Drosophila melanogaster: one gene and its partners. The protein of the gene in region 1 purifies or fractionates together with the protein of each later gene. This does not show direct contact. Each region holds a gene or a part of one and is shown in the gene's direction. Other genes may lie near its edges.

The links. Proteins that work in one complex are often made in the same cells at the same time.
Region 2: the proteins of Pcyt2 (region 1) and CG11980 purify together in Drosophila melanogaster (affinity purification with mass spectrometry, with the first as the bait; one large-scale study listed by BioGRID). This does not show direct contact.
Region 3: the proteins of Pcyt2 (region 1) and Pdss2 purify together in Drosophila melanogaster (affinity purification with mass spectrometry, with the first as the bait; one large-scale study listed by BioGRID). This does not show direct contact.

What each region holds. Positions count from the first base shown.
Region 1 is NT_037436.4:1,550,734-1,557,001, forward strand, and holds Pcyt2 (phosphocholine cytidylyltransferase 2), read left to right. Parts: upstream 1-2,759; 5' UTR 2,760-3,163; coding exon 3,164-3,277; intron 3,278-3,344; coding exon 3,345-3,668; intron 3,669-3,727; coding exon 3,728-4,435; 3' UTR 4,436-4,582; downstream 4,583-6,268. Other genes in the region: Pcyt1 (phosphocholine cytidylyltransferase 1), read left to right, coding at 61-555, 745-1,068, 1,132-1,893; CG12099 (uncharacterized protein), read right to left, coding at 4,836-5,270, 5,330-5,484, 5,539-6,268.
Region 2 is NT_033777.3:9,001,850-9,007,253, forward strand, and holds CG11980 (uncharacterized protein), read left to right. Parts: upstream 1-2,167; 5' UTR 2,168-2,201; coding exon 2,202-2,226; intron 2,227-2,246; exon of another isoform or gene 2,247-2,289; coding exon 2,290-2,602; intron 2,603-2,659; coding exon 2,660-3,401; 3' UTR 3,402-3,482; downstream 3,483-5,404. Other genes in the region: CG31100 (uncharacterized protein), read right to left, coding at 1,692-1,741; Prosbeta3 (proteasome beta3 subunit), read right to left, coding at 3,605-4,222; Iru (iruka), read left to right, coding at 4,865-5,404.
Region 3 is NT_037436.4:21,025,630-21,032,063, forward strand, and holds Pdss2 (decaprenyl diphosphate synthase subunit 2), read left to right. Parts: upstream 1-2,285; 5' UTR 2,286-2,678; coding exon 2,679-3,028; intron 3,029-3,086; coding exon 3,087-3,276; intron 3,277-3,329; exon of another isoform or gene 3,330-3,455; coding exon 3,456-4,262; 3' UTR 4,263-4,512; downstream 4,513-6,434. Other genes in the region: CG10584 (uncharacterized protein), read right to left, coding at 4,796-5,620; Polr3E (RNA polymerase III subunit E), read left to right, coding at 6,260-6,292, 6,352-6,434.

The sequences.
Region 1 (6,268 bases):
TGTTCCTCCGTCACCGCGTCGCGAAGCCGTTAAAACTGCCGCTCCCAAACATTCGCTGCGATGGCCACCTCATCGATACTCGCCAAAAGCACAATTAATAGCACATCGCCACCGGCCACGCCCAGCAGCAGCGCGTCCCCCGGCTCCACACTGACCACCCGGAAGCGGACCTACGAGATAGCCATTGCCATGCCCTCGTCCACCGCCTCCAGCAGCGCCACAAAGGTATCGGAAGTTCAGGATCAGCGCACAAACAGCCCCGGCAAGTCCAAGAGCAGGCCCGGCCAGCTGGAGAGTGTCTTGGTGGTCGGCGAGGGAGCCAGCGAGCCCACCACCTCGGCCACCACACTGCGGGACAGCACACGCACCATCTCACAAAGCGACGCCGACGATGGCGGCGAAGCGGCAGCCGCCGAGGACCTGCTGCCCCCACAGTCGGATTACCTCAACGGCGTCAAGCGGAAGTACGTCCCGCAGCAGCAGGCGTCGCCGAATCACCGGGTGGTGCCCGCATCCACCTCGCAGCAATTCTTCAGCGGGGCCTCCGATTTTGCGGTAAGTAGTCAAGAGTTAGGATGCAAAGTTAGTCTAAATCGTAGTAGCTGAAATCGTTTGAAATTGATGTTCGAGTCGTGAGTCGTATATTTCCGACGATGTGTGATAAGATCGAGAAAGAATGTGTAGACCAAGGACACAATCGTCCAGTTGAATAGCCCAACTAATCGGGAACTTTTCTTCCTGCAGACAATTTGCAAGCCGGCGCCCTACTCTCACGACGAGGAGGCCATGCTGGAGCGGGATAGATGTGACTACACTCAAAGGATCACCTACCAGATGGCCCGCTCCGGACAGACGACCCGCAGGGTGAGGGTCTACGCCGATGGCATCTACGATCTTTTCCACCAGGGCCACGCCCGCCAACTAATGCAGGCCAAGAACATCTTTCCCAACGTGTACTTAATTGTGGGCGTGTGCAACGACGAGCTCACCCACCGCATGAAGGGACGCACCGTGATGAACGGCTTCGAGCGATACGAGGGAGTGCGTCACTGCCGCTATGTGGACGAGGTATGTTCTGCCCGGCACTGATTAGAGATCTTTCAGTCTATAGCATCTTACTCTGTCTTGCAGATCGTCCAGAATGCGCCATGGACTCTGTCCGATGAATTCATCGCCGACAACAAAATCGACTTTGTGGCCCACGACGACATTCCGTATGTAACCGATGGCATGGACGACATCTATGCTCCTCTCAAGGCGCGCGGCATGTTTGTGGCCACGGAGCGCACTGAGGGTGTGTCCACCTCGGACATCGTAGCCCGGATCGTCAAGGATTACGATCTGTATGTGCGTCGTAATCTGGCCAGAGGCTATTCGGCCAAGGAACTCAATGTGTCGTTCCTGTCCGAGAAGAAGTTCCGGCTGCAGAACAAGATGGACGAGCTGAAGTCGCGCGGCAAGCGCGAGCTGAGCAAGGTGAAGGTGGACATCATCACCAAGTGGGAGGAGAAGTCGCGCGAATTCATCGACACCTTCCTGCTGCTGTTCGGACGTGAGAACCTGAATCATTTGTGGAACGAGTCGAAGGGCAAGCTGCTGCAGGCACTCAGTCCGCCGGGCAGCCCGTCGGGATCAGTGAACGGTGATGACACGGAGGGCGGCGAGGACTACAGCGAAACTATTGACGAGTACTTGGAGATGGCCGAGAAGTTGAGCGGGGGCAGCGGCAGCGGCAGCAGTGGATCGCTGAACGGCAAACAGAGGCCGAAGCAGAAGCGCTCCTCGCTGGCCCGCCGCAGTTACCAGAGTCTGCAGAGCCAATCACCCGACTTGGAAGCGGATGGGGACGAGGATGCGGATGCGGATGCGGAGTACGAGCGTCGAAGCAATTGATTCTATTGCGGGGCAGCCCGATCTTTTCTTCTTCTCTTAATGTCTTTAATGCTATTGTAAATGGACTTGCTTGCAACTAGTTCGACGGCACACTATAGATGCCCCAGGATCGCCACGCAGGCTCCACGAACACACACTTATATTTACTCTAGCCCTAAGTGGTATTGTAATCCCAATGTTTTAGTTGGCACTCGTTCTCCTCCTGCCTCAACTCCACCTGCCCATCTCCATCTGTGAGAATCGAGGGAATCCTGTAGCTAATTTAGCTGTGTGTGTGTGTGTGTGGGACAAGCAACCACCAACGCGGAAAAGACTCATTTTTGTATTAGGCACTCGACGGACTGTGCACGAAATCAATCGGCAGTGGCGGCAGATTCAGGTGCCGAAAATATCTAGAAATATTTATATTAAATTATTTCGCATAACATTAAACTAAGTTAACAACACCGCAACCAGAACACCAACCAATATAGAGAAATCCAAACAAACAAATTACGAAATACATTCGGAAAATGCAAAAAACAAAAACAAGTAATTAGTAACAGTTGGCAATAGCGGAACTATTGCAAATGCTTTGTTAAATATTTTTTGAAAAATAAACATTGAATCGAAAGGAAATAGAAGTAAAGCGAGTGGCTTGTGAATCAGTTTGCTATCTCATACGTTTATCCAGCAATTGCGCATCCGATTCAGCAGCCATCCATGGCACTGCTGGAATTCTTGAGCGCGCGCCACCGATGATGATGAAACCGTTTGCCTTGATTGGACACCCATTCCCTCGCAATTAGCTGCCCATTCACCGGCTTGAAGCGGTTCACTGATTTGTTTAATGGCGCTGCGGTTTATATATAGATGCGCACCCATCGCCTGATCGAATCGGCGGACCCGTGCCAAGTCAGGCGACCGACCCGTTGCTTCCTATTTGCTTGCGCCGCAATTTGCGGCAATTGAAGATGAGCGATGAATCCGAGCCAGAGACTTGGGCCTGAGACTGCTAGAGCCGCCTCCAAGTCGTGTGCCTCGCCAGCCGCTGGACTCAATTGTATTGATTCGCCACCAGTTGCCGCCAATTTATTCTGATCGCAGCTAGTGCGCAGTTGGGGACATCTCTCGCTCAAAGTCTCGGACTCAATCCTCGACAGAGTAGACCTAGAGGGTTATGCCGGTTCCGTCTCAATTTATGTAATCAGTCGTCCGGATGAAATCCCCTTGAGCGGACCACTAGTGCTGTACTTAGTTGTGTATACTCGTACATATATTTTTATAAGCAATGGACAGAATGCCGAAAGAGGACGACGAATCTCCAGTGTCGACGGCTCCTGCCACACCGACATCGCCGATGGAGTTTAAGATGCTACCGCTCTTTATGGACTTTGAGGATTTTGTAAGGCTACTCCTTAGAGGAACAGGAGTTGCCACATACTAATCTCTCTACCCCAAAACGCCTCCAGAGCATTTGCCAGCCTGCTCCTTTCTCGTACGATGACAAGGCCATGCTGGAGCTCGAGAGATGCGACTACACACAGAGGATCACCTATCATATGGCCAGAGCTGGGAAGACGACGCGCAGGGTGCGGGTCTATGCAGATGGCATATATGATCTGTTCCACCAAGGCCATGCCCGCCAACTCATGCAGGCCAAGAATGTGTTTCCCAACGTCTATCTCATCGTCGGCGTGTGCAATGATGAGCTGACCCTCAGGATGAAGGGACGCACGGTTATGAATGGATTCGAGCGCTACGAGGCGGTGCGCCACTGCCGCTACGTGGATGAGGTAAGTGTGTTAAACTGAACCAATGAAATGTTTCTATACACTTTTCGATCCATCACAAGATCGTTCCGAATGCTCCGTGGACGCTAAATGAGGAGTTTATCGAGGAGCACAAAATCGACTTTGTGGCCCACGATGACATACCCTATGGAGCTGGCGGAGTCAACGACATATATGCTCCACTCAAAGCGAAGGGAATGTTTGTGGCCACGGAACGCACTGAGGGCGTGTCCACGTCGGACATTGTGGCCCGAATCGTGAAGGACTACGATGTATATGTGCGCAGGAACCTGGCCAGAGGCTACTCAGCCAAGGAGCTCAACGTCTCCTTTCTCTCCGAGAAGAAATTCCGTCTGCAGAACAAGATGGACGAGCTGAAGACACGAGGCAAGCGGGAGCTGACCAAAGTCAAGGTTGACATCATCACCAAGTGGGAGGAGAAGTCGCGCGAGTTCATCGATGCCTTCCTGCTCCTGTTCGGCCGGGAGCGGCTTAACACCTTCTGGAACGAGTCCAAGGGCCGAATCATTCAGGCACTCAGCCCACCAGGCAGTCCGAATGGCTCCGTAAACGGTGACGATCCAGACGCAACAGACGACTTAGACTCTGAGGATGAGTACATGGAGCTGCCACCAGACTACGGGTCTGGTAGTTGCGTATCCCTTAGTCGAAAACAAAAGCGCCCTGATAAGGTGAATGCCTCAGCAAACCTCAATTACTCGGAGCAACCAGAGCATAAGGATGTCGTAGACGAGCGACGCAGCGACTAAAGACGAATTTGGCCTCTTCCTATCAATTAAAACATAAATAAATATGTTTGAAGTTTAATGGAACAGCGCAGTAGGCACTTTTATACATATTTAAAAGAGCTACCAGAAAAAGTATGCGCTTAAAATACATTCCGATAAATTTCAGTTAAATTATGAATATTTCTTTTGGCAAGAAAGTAAAAAGGCGTTTATTTGATATTTTACTTGCTGCCTTTATTGGTTATCTTATGTGTATTGTGAATATAAGTTGGGTTAAATTATAGATTAGCTGAATGATTTTCCAAATCCTCTTCAATGATAGAACAATCGCATTTGTTATTTAAAATAACGTTGAAATATTCGCATAAAAACAAAAATACAATAAATCTTGTAACTTCATAAGCGATCATCATCTAGCTCTTCATGGAGCTCTGTTCATGCCCGTGGCGAACAGGGGAACCATCTTCTTGCCCTTGGCCTTCTTTTGCTTCTTCGATTCCGCTGGAGCTGCTCCATTGGATTTTGCTGCTCCTACCTTTTGCTTTTTCTGGTCCAAGGCTCCAACTAAAAGTTCTCCCAGACCCCAGTGGCCCACAGATCGCTGCTCAAAGTCCTCATCGCTGGTTCTTGGGACCATTACAGCCCGTGGCGGCGGTGGAGCTGAACGGCCCCAGGCGCCCACTTGAACATCCAATGGCGCGCCACCACCTCCAGGAGAATTACTTCCAATAGTGGGCCACATCTCCTGCTTGGGACTTCCCAGAGTGACACTGGAGTATCGGGAACCGGGGTCCTGGTTGCTGATGTTCATGGGCACAGAGCCACTGGGAGCGGGCAAAGCCTCCTCGAAGCCGCACTTTAGATAAAATATCACATATTAATAATTGACACTAATGGCAGGCATTGCTAGCTCACAGTGGGAAACTCATGGGAGGAGCTTAGGTCAAGGTTAGCTGCACTGGCAATAAGTTTGCCCATCTGGCGGTCATTTATCTCGTTGATGTGCTGCTCTCGCTTGCGCTCCTCGCGATCCCGACGCTGTCGTTCCTTCTTACGATGAAGAATGTCCTCTGCGGAAGGAATACATATAAGCATAATGCTGTACATGGACCTAGTGGACTTACCCTTAAAGAGCTTGAGTATTCCTCCAGTGACCACTGGCGGCTGCAATTCGACTTCCACAACCGAAAACTGACAAGTCAAAGGCAAGTGGCCAAGACAAGTGAACTTGCGTCGATGCTCCTCATCCATAGAGTGCTGTTCCATCTGCACGATTTGGGCTTCGATGAGTAGCGGACCCAAGTCCAAGGTGCCGTAGCAAGCCTGAAGCATCTTCACGTTCAAGGGATGCAAGTAAATATTCTGTCCGTCGTTTGACTGGTAGAAATAATAGTATTTATTATGGTTGCTCGAGTAGCTAAGGCTGCTGGATGCTTCTCCCGACGAGATGGAGGCATCGTCTGACTTCTCAATATCAATCTTGGTCTCGGTTTCTAGGCAAAGTACAGGTGCTGTCTCCTCTTCATCCTCTTTCGGATCAGGTTTCTCGACACCCAACTTCTCAACACGCTCCTGAAGCATCACCAGCGCTTGCTGGATGAACACATCCTCGGGACAGGAGACATCCGATTCGGCTAGCAGTTCGTTACGCTCCCTCTCGATGATGGCGGCCACATCCATCCGCTTGGCTATTAGAAACTTTGAGTAGCGTTTAGCCTCTTCACCAGCGGACACAAAGGGGAAACGTTCAATTGTTTCGCCCAATCCTGCAACATGATTTTCAATGTACATGGAGCCCTTGCGACGCCGCATCAACTGGAAGGTAATCTTCTCGCCCACTTGCAAATCCCTCAG
Region 2 (5,404 bases), on another chromosome or scaffold:
GATTAGACCAGAACGCGTCGCGCGGTCAAAACAAACTGAAACCGAAAACGAAGCCGAGCGCGAATCTCAGTCCCGTTACAACGAAGCTTTCCATTAAGCTAAGCTTACAAGACGGAGTTCGGAAATTGAACGCGACGAAAGCTCGCCTGGCATTTGTGCCATTTACCAAGCAATTTGGTTTGGTAACCAATTCGGCGGCTAGAAAACAAAACAAATTCCCCAAAATCGTATTCATTGAGCGGGAGAACAATTGAGGGTCTGCTGACAAACCGGTTTGTTGTATTTTATTGTATTAACCTCATCATTGCCCGCTACTAGATCTTCCCACTAAATCAGCTTCGAATCGGTCTGGCATTCATAAAAAAAAACACATTAATTTCTTTCTGAATTCTTATTTGTATACCCAGCATTCCGGTTTGAGTTCAAGAATATACCCACAAAGCCGTATTCTATATAATGTACGATGCAAATACGAGCAGGAAAAGGTAAATTCTCGCCATAGTTAAATGACAGTTGCATAAACCGGACAACACACATGAATATAACGTCAGGCGGCTTTGATCTCGCCTCTATAAATACAGTAAGGCTACTTAAGTTCACTTAGGCTCGAGTAAATAAATCTACAATTGTGATGTTGCACACCAGAGAACACTACAACGATAGTAATGCAATTTAATGATAGTGTCGAATTTTTAATTTTAAATACAAAATCATCACCTCCCGATTTAGTAATCTCTATTTTAAGTGCTCCAGTTAATTGCCCTTAAAGTTTTTTTGACGCGTACTCACATATTTGTTGTATTAAGCGATTTATTTGAAAAAAGACGGTGCTAATATAAGTTAAATGGGCATATACGTAACGAGGGTGCCAGTTCACCGATCCAATGATACCCTGTAAGTGCTATATAAGCCAAAAATGATTTAAATATTTGTATATTCAACTTACTATTCACTTTCATTCATTTAAGAACGACATGTGGTACAATATACCTTTCAGTTTCAGTTTGGTATTTACCTGTGGAATTTGCTTATTTGCTCACGGGCGTGAAAATATAATTACTTGGGTAGTTGTAAAAACAAGCGCATTTTTCGCTCAGTGGCAATGAACTTCTAACGTAATCTGTATGATAAGCTTAATTGCAAGAAGCTGAGGTCGAAACGAGTCCAGATTTTGATAAGCGTGTCTGCATCGATTAGTACCACAATAAGCCCTGTGAAATTTTTGATTTGGCCGCGTGACGTAGACGTCGGGGCAAATTGAACTTTAATTCGAGCTGAATTTCGCATTCCAATTGGAGATAGTGAAGTGTGTTTTCCAAACGAGTTTCGTTTACACAGGCACTTCCTTTTCCACTCAATTTCCGAGCTTAGCATCTTTTCGAAGGTCATGGGATGCTGACAACGGGAAAAATGCCTGTGTAACAATTTGAATTTAACGTTTTGTTCGCGCTCATACACGTGATCATTGTTGTCGGCGGTGATTTATGTTTTAAACGCATACATAGACCGTTTGCCTACTATTTCGGTTTTAATTATTGTTCGTCAGTTTCAGCGCACAATTAACGGAAATGTAAAATTTAAATAACTTATAACGATTATATAAGCAATGCCACGCAGTGGGTCAGTAATGTATTTTTAAGCTTTCCGATTCCCGCGCGTTTTTAATGATCTTTTAAACTAATCACTCTTACATTGCGGGTACTTGCCGACTTATATTTCGGCGCAAACGGGCTTCTGCCATTTTGGTAAATCCTTGTGGTTAGTCAATTTTATCCAATGTATCCATTCGTGGGTCTTGAGTTCCAAAGGCTTACTAAAATTTTCAGCCAATAATTCTCTACTAAGCAGCCAAAAAATTGATGTGGTCCCTATGAGTTGTTGTTTTACAAATTAGCAAGCGAATGCTAATTTATTGGATAAGCACAAACGCCCATGCAATCGATTGGTGTGGGGCGAAGTTCTTTGATAAGCTGGCAGTGCTTGGTACAGATTTCACTGAATTTTCATATATTATTATATTAAAATCCAACTTGCCTATAAAACGTATTTAATTAAAATGTTGTTAATTGTTTGCGGCTTAAAAAACCGTTACCAGTGCTGCCACGCTGCAGTTTTTATATATTTAAGCTGAACGCGTGTTGCCATATCAAGTTATAAAAACTTGTGATATCGATATTAAATGGAGGAAAAGACCGTCGCTAATGTTCCGATTGTTACCTCGTTTTCGTAAGTTTTTGGTTACAATCCGAAATTAATTGAAATATCTGGGCTTAACTGAATGTTTTGAAGCAGGAAAACTATCTATAATGACTGGAGTTACCCCACCAAAACGCTCTCCCCTTTGGATCGGCACACACAGCGGCACTTTTCACTGCGACGAGTTGGTCGCATGTTTTATGCTCAAGCAATTGGATGAGTACAAAAACGCAGAGATTTTCCGCAGTCGGGACAACAAGGCTTTGAAGGAGAAGTGCGATATAATTGTCGACGTGGGCGGCGTTTATGATCATGCCAAGAAATTGTACGATCACCACCAAATAACCTTCAAGGAGACTTTTAGTTCCGTTCGCCCAGATGTAAGCGAGGACTACAACGTTGTCAGGTGAATTCGTGGTGTTAGCGTAAATGAACCCGTATAATCCAATGTAATCCCCTCCAGGCTAAGCAGTGCTGGACTGGTCTACTGTCACTATGGCGAGCGTGTTATACAGAGCATCCTGCAGCGCGAAAAGGGAATTAAACTCTCACCGGAAAACCTGCAAACGGCCTTTATTCAGATCTATAGGAATTTTATCAACGAACTGGACGCAATTGATAATGGAGTGCCCATGTTCGAGGGCGTTGAGCCTATATACAAAATCTCCACTCATCTATCTGCCCGCATTGCCAAACTGAATCCGTCCTGGCAGGAAACTGGCGTAGACATCGAAGACCGATTCAGACAGGCGATGGATACTGCAGGTCGTGAGTTTGTGGACAACGTTGTGGAGGTATCATGTTCCTGGATTCCAGCCCGGGATCACGTACGAGAGGCTCTTAAAAATGCCAAGAACGTCCATCCCACCGGCGAGATTCTTGTGTTGAAGAATTTCTGCCCCTGGAAGTCTCATCTGTTCGATCTTGAAAAGGAGTACAAGGTGGAGGGTGTGCCCAAGCTGGTCGTCTTCAACAGCGGCAATAGTTGGCGAGTGGCCGGAGTTCCAGTGACGCCTGGCAGCTATCTGGGCCGCAAATTTCTGCCCACTCCTTGGCGCGGACTGATGGACGATGAACTATGCGATAAGGCGAGCATCAAAGATCTCGAATTCATCCATCACACAGGATTTATTGGCGGGGCAAAAACCGAGGAGGCTGCCATGTTGTTGGCCAAGAAATCCACCGAGTGGACAGAAGAGCAATAATATAATACGACTTAAAGTTATGCTTTTGAAATTGAAAAACAATAATTAGATCGCATTTAATTCTGGTGTTATTACGCATTTAATTCTGGTGTTATTACGTTATACGGAAAAGAAATACGCACATGTTGTACCTAAACAAATTTTATTTGTATGTGTATTTCGGTTAATGTATACAAAATCACCAAGGGAACCTCTAACATCATCTAGTCCATGCGGGTCTTCAGTGTGCGCTCCGTGATCTTGTCCTTCTCGATAATGTAGACGGTGGCACCCCAACCGCTCATGGCGTCGCGATCGAATGCGTTCACAATGGACTGGGCGATGACCTCAAACAGCTGGTCCGGCTCGAGATCGGGTTTCCACAGGGTTTCGCACATGCCATACAATTGCTCCGCACAGGTGCCGGCCACAACGAAGTCATCGGGTGCGTTGGGGCAGCCGATCAGGTCCATGTTGCAGATAAAAGGCTCCATGGTCTTGGGATCCAGGCCAGCAACGACCGGCTCAATGAAGTACGGGCCAAAGCGGTGCTCGTACAGAAAGCTGGACATCATGGCCGAGAAGGGCTTGGGACACATTTCACGGTTTTCGCGTGTCTCGTACAGATTCTTGCGGAACATCAGGCGATCGCGAACAGTAAGGATGTCCGTCTGCAGGCCTGTGAGCCCGAGGAACATCCGTGGGCCGATGTGGAACACCTTCTTGAAGTCCGTGGAGATCGTCTGAGCCTGAATGCCGAATCGGTGATCCGTGGCAATCGCCACGCAGTCCTTTCCGCGCATGGCCACTACACATCCTCCGTTGTAGGCTAGAATCGACATGGTGTCGTTGCTATTCGCTTAGCTCAATTTAATCAGCAGAAAAATGGAAATTTTGCAAAATGCTAAAAGCCGCCTGGGAAGATGACTTTTTGTTTCTGCTCTGCGTTGCCAGACTGCGAGTGTAAGATGGGCTAATACTGACTGGCTGTATAGAACTGGCAACGCCTACTAAAGAGATTTCAAAAAGAATCGCGTTTTTTAAGTATTTTTTAAGTATTAGTATTTTTAAACACAAGTTAAAGTTATAAAATGTTTAAAAATGCAAAAATATCTCCGCGAATGTTAAAACGCATTTTTCTTATCATTTGGATCCTTTTGAAGTAATAAAAGATCCAAATGTTAATATGCCAGTATTAGCTTTCAGTGTGACCAGGCCGCGTCAATCAGTTGGGATTTATTCTCCTCTGCGGCAAAGGCCACTTTGTAAGGGGCCCTTATTTATAGAAAAATTAAATTCTATCCCTTAAACTCCCAATTGTTCCGACTGAACCCAATGACCGGGTAAAGCTAGGCGCGTGTACCTTGTCCTCCTCTTGTCACATCAACGTCTACAGCCGCAAGCAGCCTACATCATCGGAAGGCGACAGTCTTGCACAATCGTCAGTGGAGCCGTTGCCCAGGAAATAAAGAACCTACCGCAGGATGGCAGAGGCAATGGTTGTGGAGGACCGCCCCGCGGAAGCCAAGCGATTCTTCTGCCACATGTGCAACGTGGAGATCAACATTCCCAACTCAGACTTCACCTGTCCGCTGTGCGCCAACGGTTTCGTGGAGGAGCTGCCGGCAAATGCGCCGGAGATGGATTCTTCGACGGCTGGAGCATCCGGCAGTGCCAGATCCGGAAGCAGCGGTAGTGGCTCTTCTGGCTCACACGACACCCTGAGCAGAGGCAGCTCATCGAGCGGATCTCAGGTGAATGTTGAGTCGCTGCGTAACGATATTGTGTCGCTGCTAAACATGCGGAATGTGCCCAACTTGGAAATTACCATCGAGCCAAACAGACGGCACAGCAACGTGCTGCATCTAGGCGGCTTTGGTGGTCCCTCGGGTAGTGACTCTGCCCGCGGCCTGACCGCCGGCGGACGAGTGCGTCCGGCAAATTTGGACCGACTGGACAATGTTCTCTTTGATTTTCTGCAGAGCCTGCCACTGGCCGGCGCCACGGCCGAAATAGTAACTGGA
Region 3 (6,434 bases), about 19 Mb from region 1:
ATTAGTTAATTTTCTTATTGTTTTAACTTGCTTATTTGTTGCTACACTCACTCAATCACACACACACATCTAGATCACAATTACAAGGGTTCGTTCATTCGCTGTTTCATTCATGCAAAAAGAGAGCAAGCAGAGAGAGAGAGCGACTCAGAAATTGACTTTTTTCAGCCACAGGCAGCGAGTATACACCGCACACACACATTTACTTCTAGAAACACACAAACGACGATGAAAGTCGTTGGATTTTCGTTAATCGTTGATGTAGACAAAATAAAATAGGTAAGAGTTTTCGGCTGTATTCGAATTCAAACCCAACCAATTTATGTTTAATCAAAAAGAACTACACATTTATAGAGCGCAAATCAAGATGAGTAATCAAGGAAAACACCAACACATGCACTCGCACGTACTGTGAACACACAAAACTCGAAGCTGCGACTATTTTTTGGTTTCGAAAAACAACAGTAGCTCAAAATATTTATTAATATTTAATCTATTACTCAGGCTTGAATTTCTTGCGTTGTATTTAGTGTTTTTTGCGCACGAATGACGAGTCAGAAATTTTCGAACCGACTGCGAACGCTGGTCGCCACACACAATGGAAATTTTGCTCGCCTAGCTTTGAATCGGCCATATATATGGTATATAGCCAGTATGTAGTGTAGTTGTACCAGCGGCGAGTGGCGAGAGAGCAGAAGAGGGCGAGTAGCGGCCGAATTCGAATAGCGGCTTTTGCTCTTTTTGCTGAGCAGAGAGTGAGAGAGAGGAGAGAGGGAGAAAACAAGTTTTACCAGCTAACTGCATATGCATTGGTGTGCGTGTGCGTTAGTGGCGTCGGCGTCTGTTTATCTCGCTCTCGCTCGCTCTTTGTGCATCTCTTGGGGATGCAACCATTTTGAGCGAGAGGCAGACAGAGAGAGACCGAGCACATAGATCGATTAAATTAAGGGAAAAATCTCAAACTAAAACGAAACTCGAAGGAAATCCGAAATTCCATAAATTATGCACTATACAACACTACATAGCACACACACGCACGCAAATATGTAGAGTGCGAAACGTGATACATAGACGGGCAGCAGCATTCCTCTCACACACACACGCATCAACCATACACCTACATGGCAGAGCAACCACTTTCGTAGTTTTCCTTTCGCACCGTTTTCTCTGTTTCTGGGCAGTAATGTGTGTGTACACATCAAATTTTCTGATTTTTACTTTCGGCCACTCGAAATAGCCGGAAAAAAATGCCATCGATAACTAAAATCGCACAGTTGTTGCATATTCCTCTTTCTTACACTCTCCTCCTTTTCCACCTCTTTCTTTCAATCACACACACACTACATAGGCACACCGCCGGGGCAGCGACCGCTAGAGCAATTAAAAACCATTAAACATTTCCGCTGCCAATGCTTAAACACGTCTTGAAAATCATTTAATGATTTTGCGCCACAATTATTTGTCAAACAACGGCACTTGGGCATTATTATTTATATTTAATTTGCTGCACCTCTTGCACGCATACACGCATACAGCACACACGCACACCCTCTCACTTCTCGGGCAATCGCTTTTGCATTTGCATTTTTGATCACTTTTCTACGTTTTAATCGCCGTTTTTGATGTTCTTTCCGACTACCGATGTAAACTTGTCTTGAATCTTTACATTTTGTGCCACTTTATCTATCGCATTCGCATACGGAAAAATCTGCGATCGATTTTTATAACAATTCGCAACAAATATGAGGGAAAACTTGCCGTCGGCGGCAGAGCCAGTGTTGCCAGCTAGCACAGACAGAAAACTACTAAAGAGGTGGCACAAAAGCACTAATAAATACCACAGAACACTAAGTCTTCACAATGGGAAGTTCAAAATATACAACAAATTAATACTTCTTAATTTAGAATGGTATATTTTTTAAATTATTTGTTCTATGTCTTCAAAGGTATTACACATCTTATATATAAATAAATAAAGGATCTCTTAAATTTAATTTAATAACGGTTATAGAAACCTTTTAATGAAATGGTTTAAGTGGTGCGAATGCGTAAAGTGATTGGAATGAAGTGTAAAATAAAAGATATTTTTATTCTGTTTGAATCAATTCCGTCAACTGATTGTTTGATCCTTCTTAAAACAAATTTTTTTAAAGGTGAATACAAACTATAATAAATTGTACAATAGAAGAATTTGTAATCTATTAAAATGGAAACAAATAAGTGTTTTGTCACCACTAGCATCCAATTGCATCGCTAACACCAGCCACTTGTGTTCCCATCCCTAAGAGTGACCGTACTCCCCATGGCCAAAAAGTGTGCACCGAAGCGGCGCTGCCGTGCGAAAACCTGTTCCCGCTCAAGACCGCCGTTACACACCCCCTGCGCCGCCTCCTCGGAATTCCATGACACTGCGTGGGGCAATAAAAACAAACAGAACGCTTGGCGGCCACCTGAGAGCGGAGCAGCGACCAACTGTAAAAGTGGGCCGCCCGGGAAGAAGAAGAAGCAGCGTAGGCAGCAGGTGACGCCGACAGCGACGTCGGCAGAGACGCAAGCAGCGACGGACCTCGAAGATTTCACTTTTCGACGAACGATTTAACTGAGCGGAGCTAAGAAACGCGATTTTCATACAAGCAATTGAAAAAAATAGTCGTGTTGTAGGCGAAAATAACTAGAAAATGGCCATGTACCGCGCCAGTGGGTTAAGGATTATGCAACAGATGCGACGCAGGATTCCCGTCGAACTGCAGCCACTCCAAGTGGCCAAAGCTGCGCCTGCGCTGCAAACTTTCACTTCTCAGCGCTGGACTTCGACGACGACGACCAGTGGAAAGCATGCCAGTCCACAGGTTACGACCCCGCCCCCGAGACACGACTGGAATAGGGCGGTCAGCGAGGCGGAGCGCATCGTCGGCTATCCCACATCCTTCCTCAGTCTGCGCTGGCTGCTCAGCGACGAGATCGCCAATGTGGCGCTGCACCTGCGCAAACTGGTGGGCAGCGCCCATCCGCTGATGAAGACGGCCAAGTGAGTGGTGCTGAAGGGCTTATAGGGCGTTGAAATTTATGTGAATCTTCCGCTTCAGGCACCTGCTCTACAATGGCAAGAACACGATGCAAGCCTGGGGATTGATAGTGCTCCTGGTGTCCAAGGCCGCAGGACATGCACCCAGTGTTCCAGACGTGGAGCAGGACAAGAGTGCCGGAGTGCTGCACTCCCAAAGGGCTTTGGCCGAGGTCACCGAGATGATACGGATATCTCATCTGGTGCACAATGTAAGTTTTTGATCAAATGCATTCGAAAGTTACTCGTAAACTGAAAGTGGTTTGTATGCAAATGAGTTTAACTTTCCTCAAATTTAGTTGACGAAACTCAAGAAACGAACATCAATATGTCATTGGTCGAGCTGATGCCTCATAGATTATAAAAATATTTACACTTGGTCCCATTTTAGAGCGTGGTTAATCTGCAATCGAGCACGCAGGCTGGGCAGGATGTGGACACCTACGACGACATGTCGTTTGGCAACAAGATCGGCCTGCTGACCGGCGACTATCTTCTGGGCCATTCCAGTGCGGAGCTGGCTAATCTGCGCAACCAGGAGGTGGTGGAGCTGATCTCGTCGGCGGTGCGAGATTTTTCCGAGTCGGAATTCATTGGAGAGCGTGATGAACAGAACAACCCGCTGCCTTATAAGCCAGGAACCTTCCAGCGACCATCTCTCAGCGTTGGAGTGGATTTCAACGAGCACGACGTGATGACGCCAATGCCGATTGCCCAGGTTCTCGGCAATCCGGAGGAGGAATGGGAGTGCCGTAATATCCTTAATGCGGGTAGCCTGCTGGGCAAATCCTGCCAAGCTTCGCTAAAGCTGGCCGGACAGAGTGAGGAACTGCAGCGACATGCTTACCGCTTTGGCAAACATTTGGCGCTCGCTTGGCAGGCTTGCTTGGATGCCGAACCTTTTCAGTGCCCCCAACTGCCGCTAGATGTTACTTTCAGTCTGGTTAGTGCTCCAGTCCTATTCCACTTGGAGCACGACCCTGGCATGTATTCTCAATTGGAGGCTGGCAAGCAGTCGGTCGATAACATCGACTACGACAAGATCCACAAGGCCATTCTGGCCGGGCCGGCTTTGGCCAAAACCAAGGAACTGCAGCGGAAGCACACAGCCGCTGCCCTGGCCGTTCTGCAACATTTCCCGGCGACGGACGCTCGACAGGCTCTGGAGAACATCATTCTGGCCATGCAGGATCTTTGATCCCGAGCAGCAGTTACTGATTTTTCACGGGTTCAGGGCTTAGGTTAGTTGTATTTATTCCGTTGGGTAATTTTTCAGTAAAGCAGACGTTGTTGACTAATCTTTAATGATTCATTTAAAGTAAAGTTTAAATGCTTTATTTTTCTGAACTTCAAGTAATACTTGGTGCAAGGTCACAAAAATATATTTTGTAAATCGTCTTGTATCGCAAAAGTTCATTTTTATTATAAGGGAAAATATAGTTCGTCATAAAAAAGGTTGTATGTTCATATTTACATAACATAGAATTGGAGGATTTGGAAACATTCGAGACTGTAAGATTTTTTTCGCAGCCTTGAAATACAAGGCAAGAGTCCCAATTTGCAGCCAATAATTTTCCAAAAAAAATATCGTCACAATCAATGTTATTAGTTTAATTCCGGTGATATCTCAACCTAACGTAACAAAGCCATAATTTAACTAAATTATTAAGGTACATCGAGGGGCCATTTGAATCTAAGAAGCGGAACGTCTTTATGTGTGATTTACGCATTTTAACGACTGATGATCTTCATCAGAACCAGTTGCTTGCAGCGATCGTACTCGAAATACTGGGGGAAATCCAGAGGCAGGTGCTCCATGATCCACGGCTTGTTCACCGTCTGCCGGATGAGGTACTCATACATGGGAGCCACCGAATCGCAATCCTCCAGTGTGAACACATAGCGCTTCTCCAGTGCCATGTATATCGTTTTGGGTCTCCCAGTTTGGCGACCTCGATCCAGGAGGTTATCCAAGACGCAGATGAAGGCATCGGTTAGCGTATCACAGTAGATGACATCGGCAGCTAGGATTATATCGCTATTGTCTATGGCCTCCAGCAGATCCTGCGAGTGATCCTCTTTTGAGGCGAGAAAATCAAACTCCAGAACTGATATCGTAGCGCGGAGGAGTTTTGAATTTCTTTGGACATTGCCGCGGATCAGCTTCAGTATGCATCCCAGGTCCACATCCGTGCAATAGATCCTTCCGTTATTGTGTATTCCGGCGGCAATGCTGGTCAGGCCGACACCAGCTCCCAGTTCCATTAGGGTTTTCTGGGAAAACTCATCCTTTTTGGAGAAAAGGTAGTCTGCCAGAAGAAGGGCTCCTCGCCACACCTGCAAGCCCACCAGCCGGAGCTCCGTGGCCTCGGAATGTTCCAATTCGATCACGCCACGTTTCGGCCTTGGCACCTCAAGGTCGCCGTCTTTATCCGTCCTAATCCCCGCCAGCTTCTCCTCCGGATAGACGAAACGGAACTTCGACAACACCTTACCTCCATCGCGGGTCGTCTGGTAGTTGTTCTCTCCGTAGATCTCCGACGTGACCGTGAACATGATCCGGTTATGTATGCGGCCAAGAGCATAGGGTATATGAATTTAATGCTGCGGTCGGTCGAGACATCTTCCCCGGGCGTCGTGGTCGATTACAAAATCGGTATCGCCAATCGGTAGGCGGAAATTGTGTTTGCATTCTGTCTTTGCACAGTGGATGGGGACACATATATTTTAATAATTTGAAATTATTTAAATTTAGTGTTTATTATTTATGCACCGAAGAACTTTTGAAAATGTTTAATATAAACTATAAACTCGTTTCGCTTAATTTAAGGCAAGCATATATAATCACAGTACTTAATCGTATCTCACGGCTAAGTTCTAATAATTTGTGCACATCTTAAGATTAGAACCAGAGCTCTATATACATATATGTATTGAAATTATTTATTATATTTAATATACAACTTAGTCTTCTTAAAAGGGAATCACTTTAAATTACTATGACTTTTTGATGTTTTTCATAGTGAAAATGTATTATTCAATCTCGAGCCTAATGAGAGATAGTTCGAGTGATTGTATACCACTGTGCCGATCAGCTGTTTGCAGAGCTGGCTACCGAAGGAAGGCAACCTGGTCACACTGGATATTTAGGCGTGCACCGTCGGCAGACAAAACTATCAAATCGAAATTTAAATTATGGAAGACGAGGACGATCCCGTCGTGGAGGAGGTGAGTATGTGAGTGGCACTATTATTACCATGAGAACAATGCCCGCCCATCCCCACCAGATTCCCGTATTCCTGTCGAAGAACCTGAGGGACAGCCTGTATCTCTTTCAATACCCCACGAAAACGGAGCTCCCCAACCACGA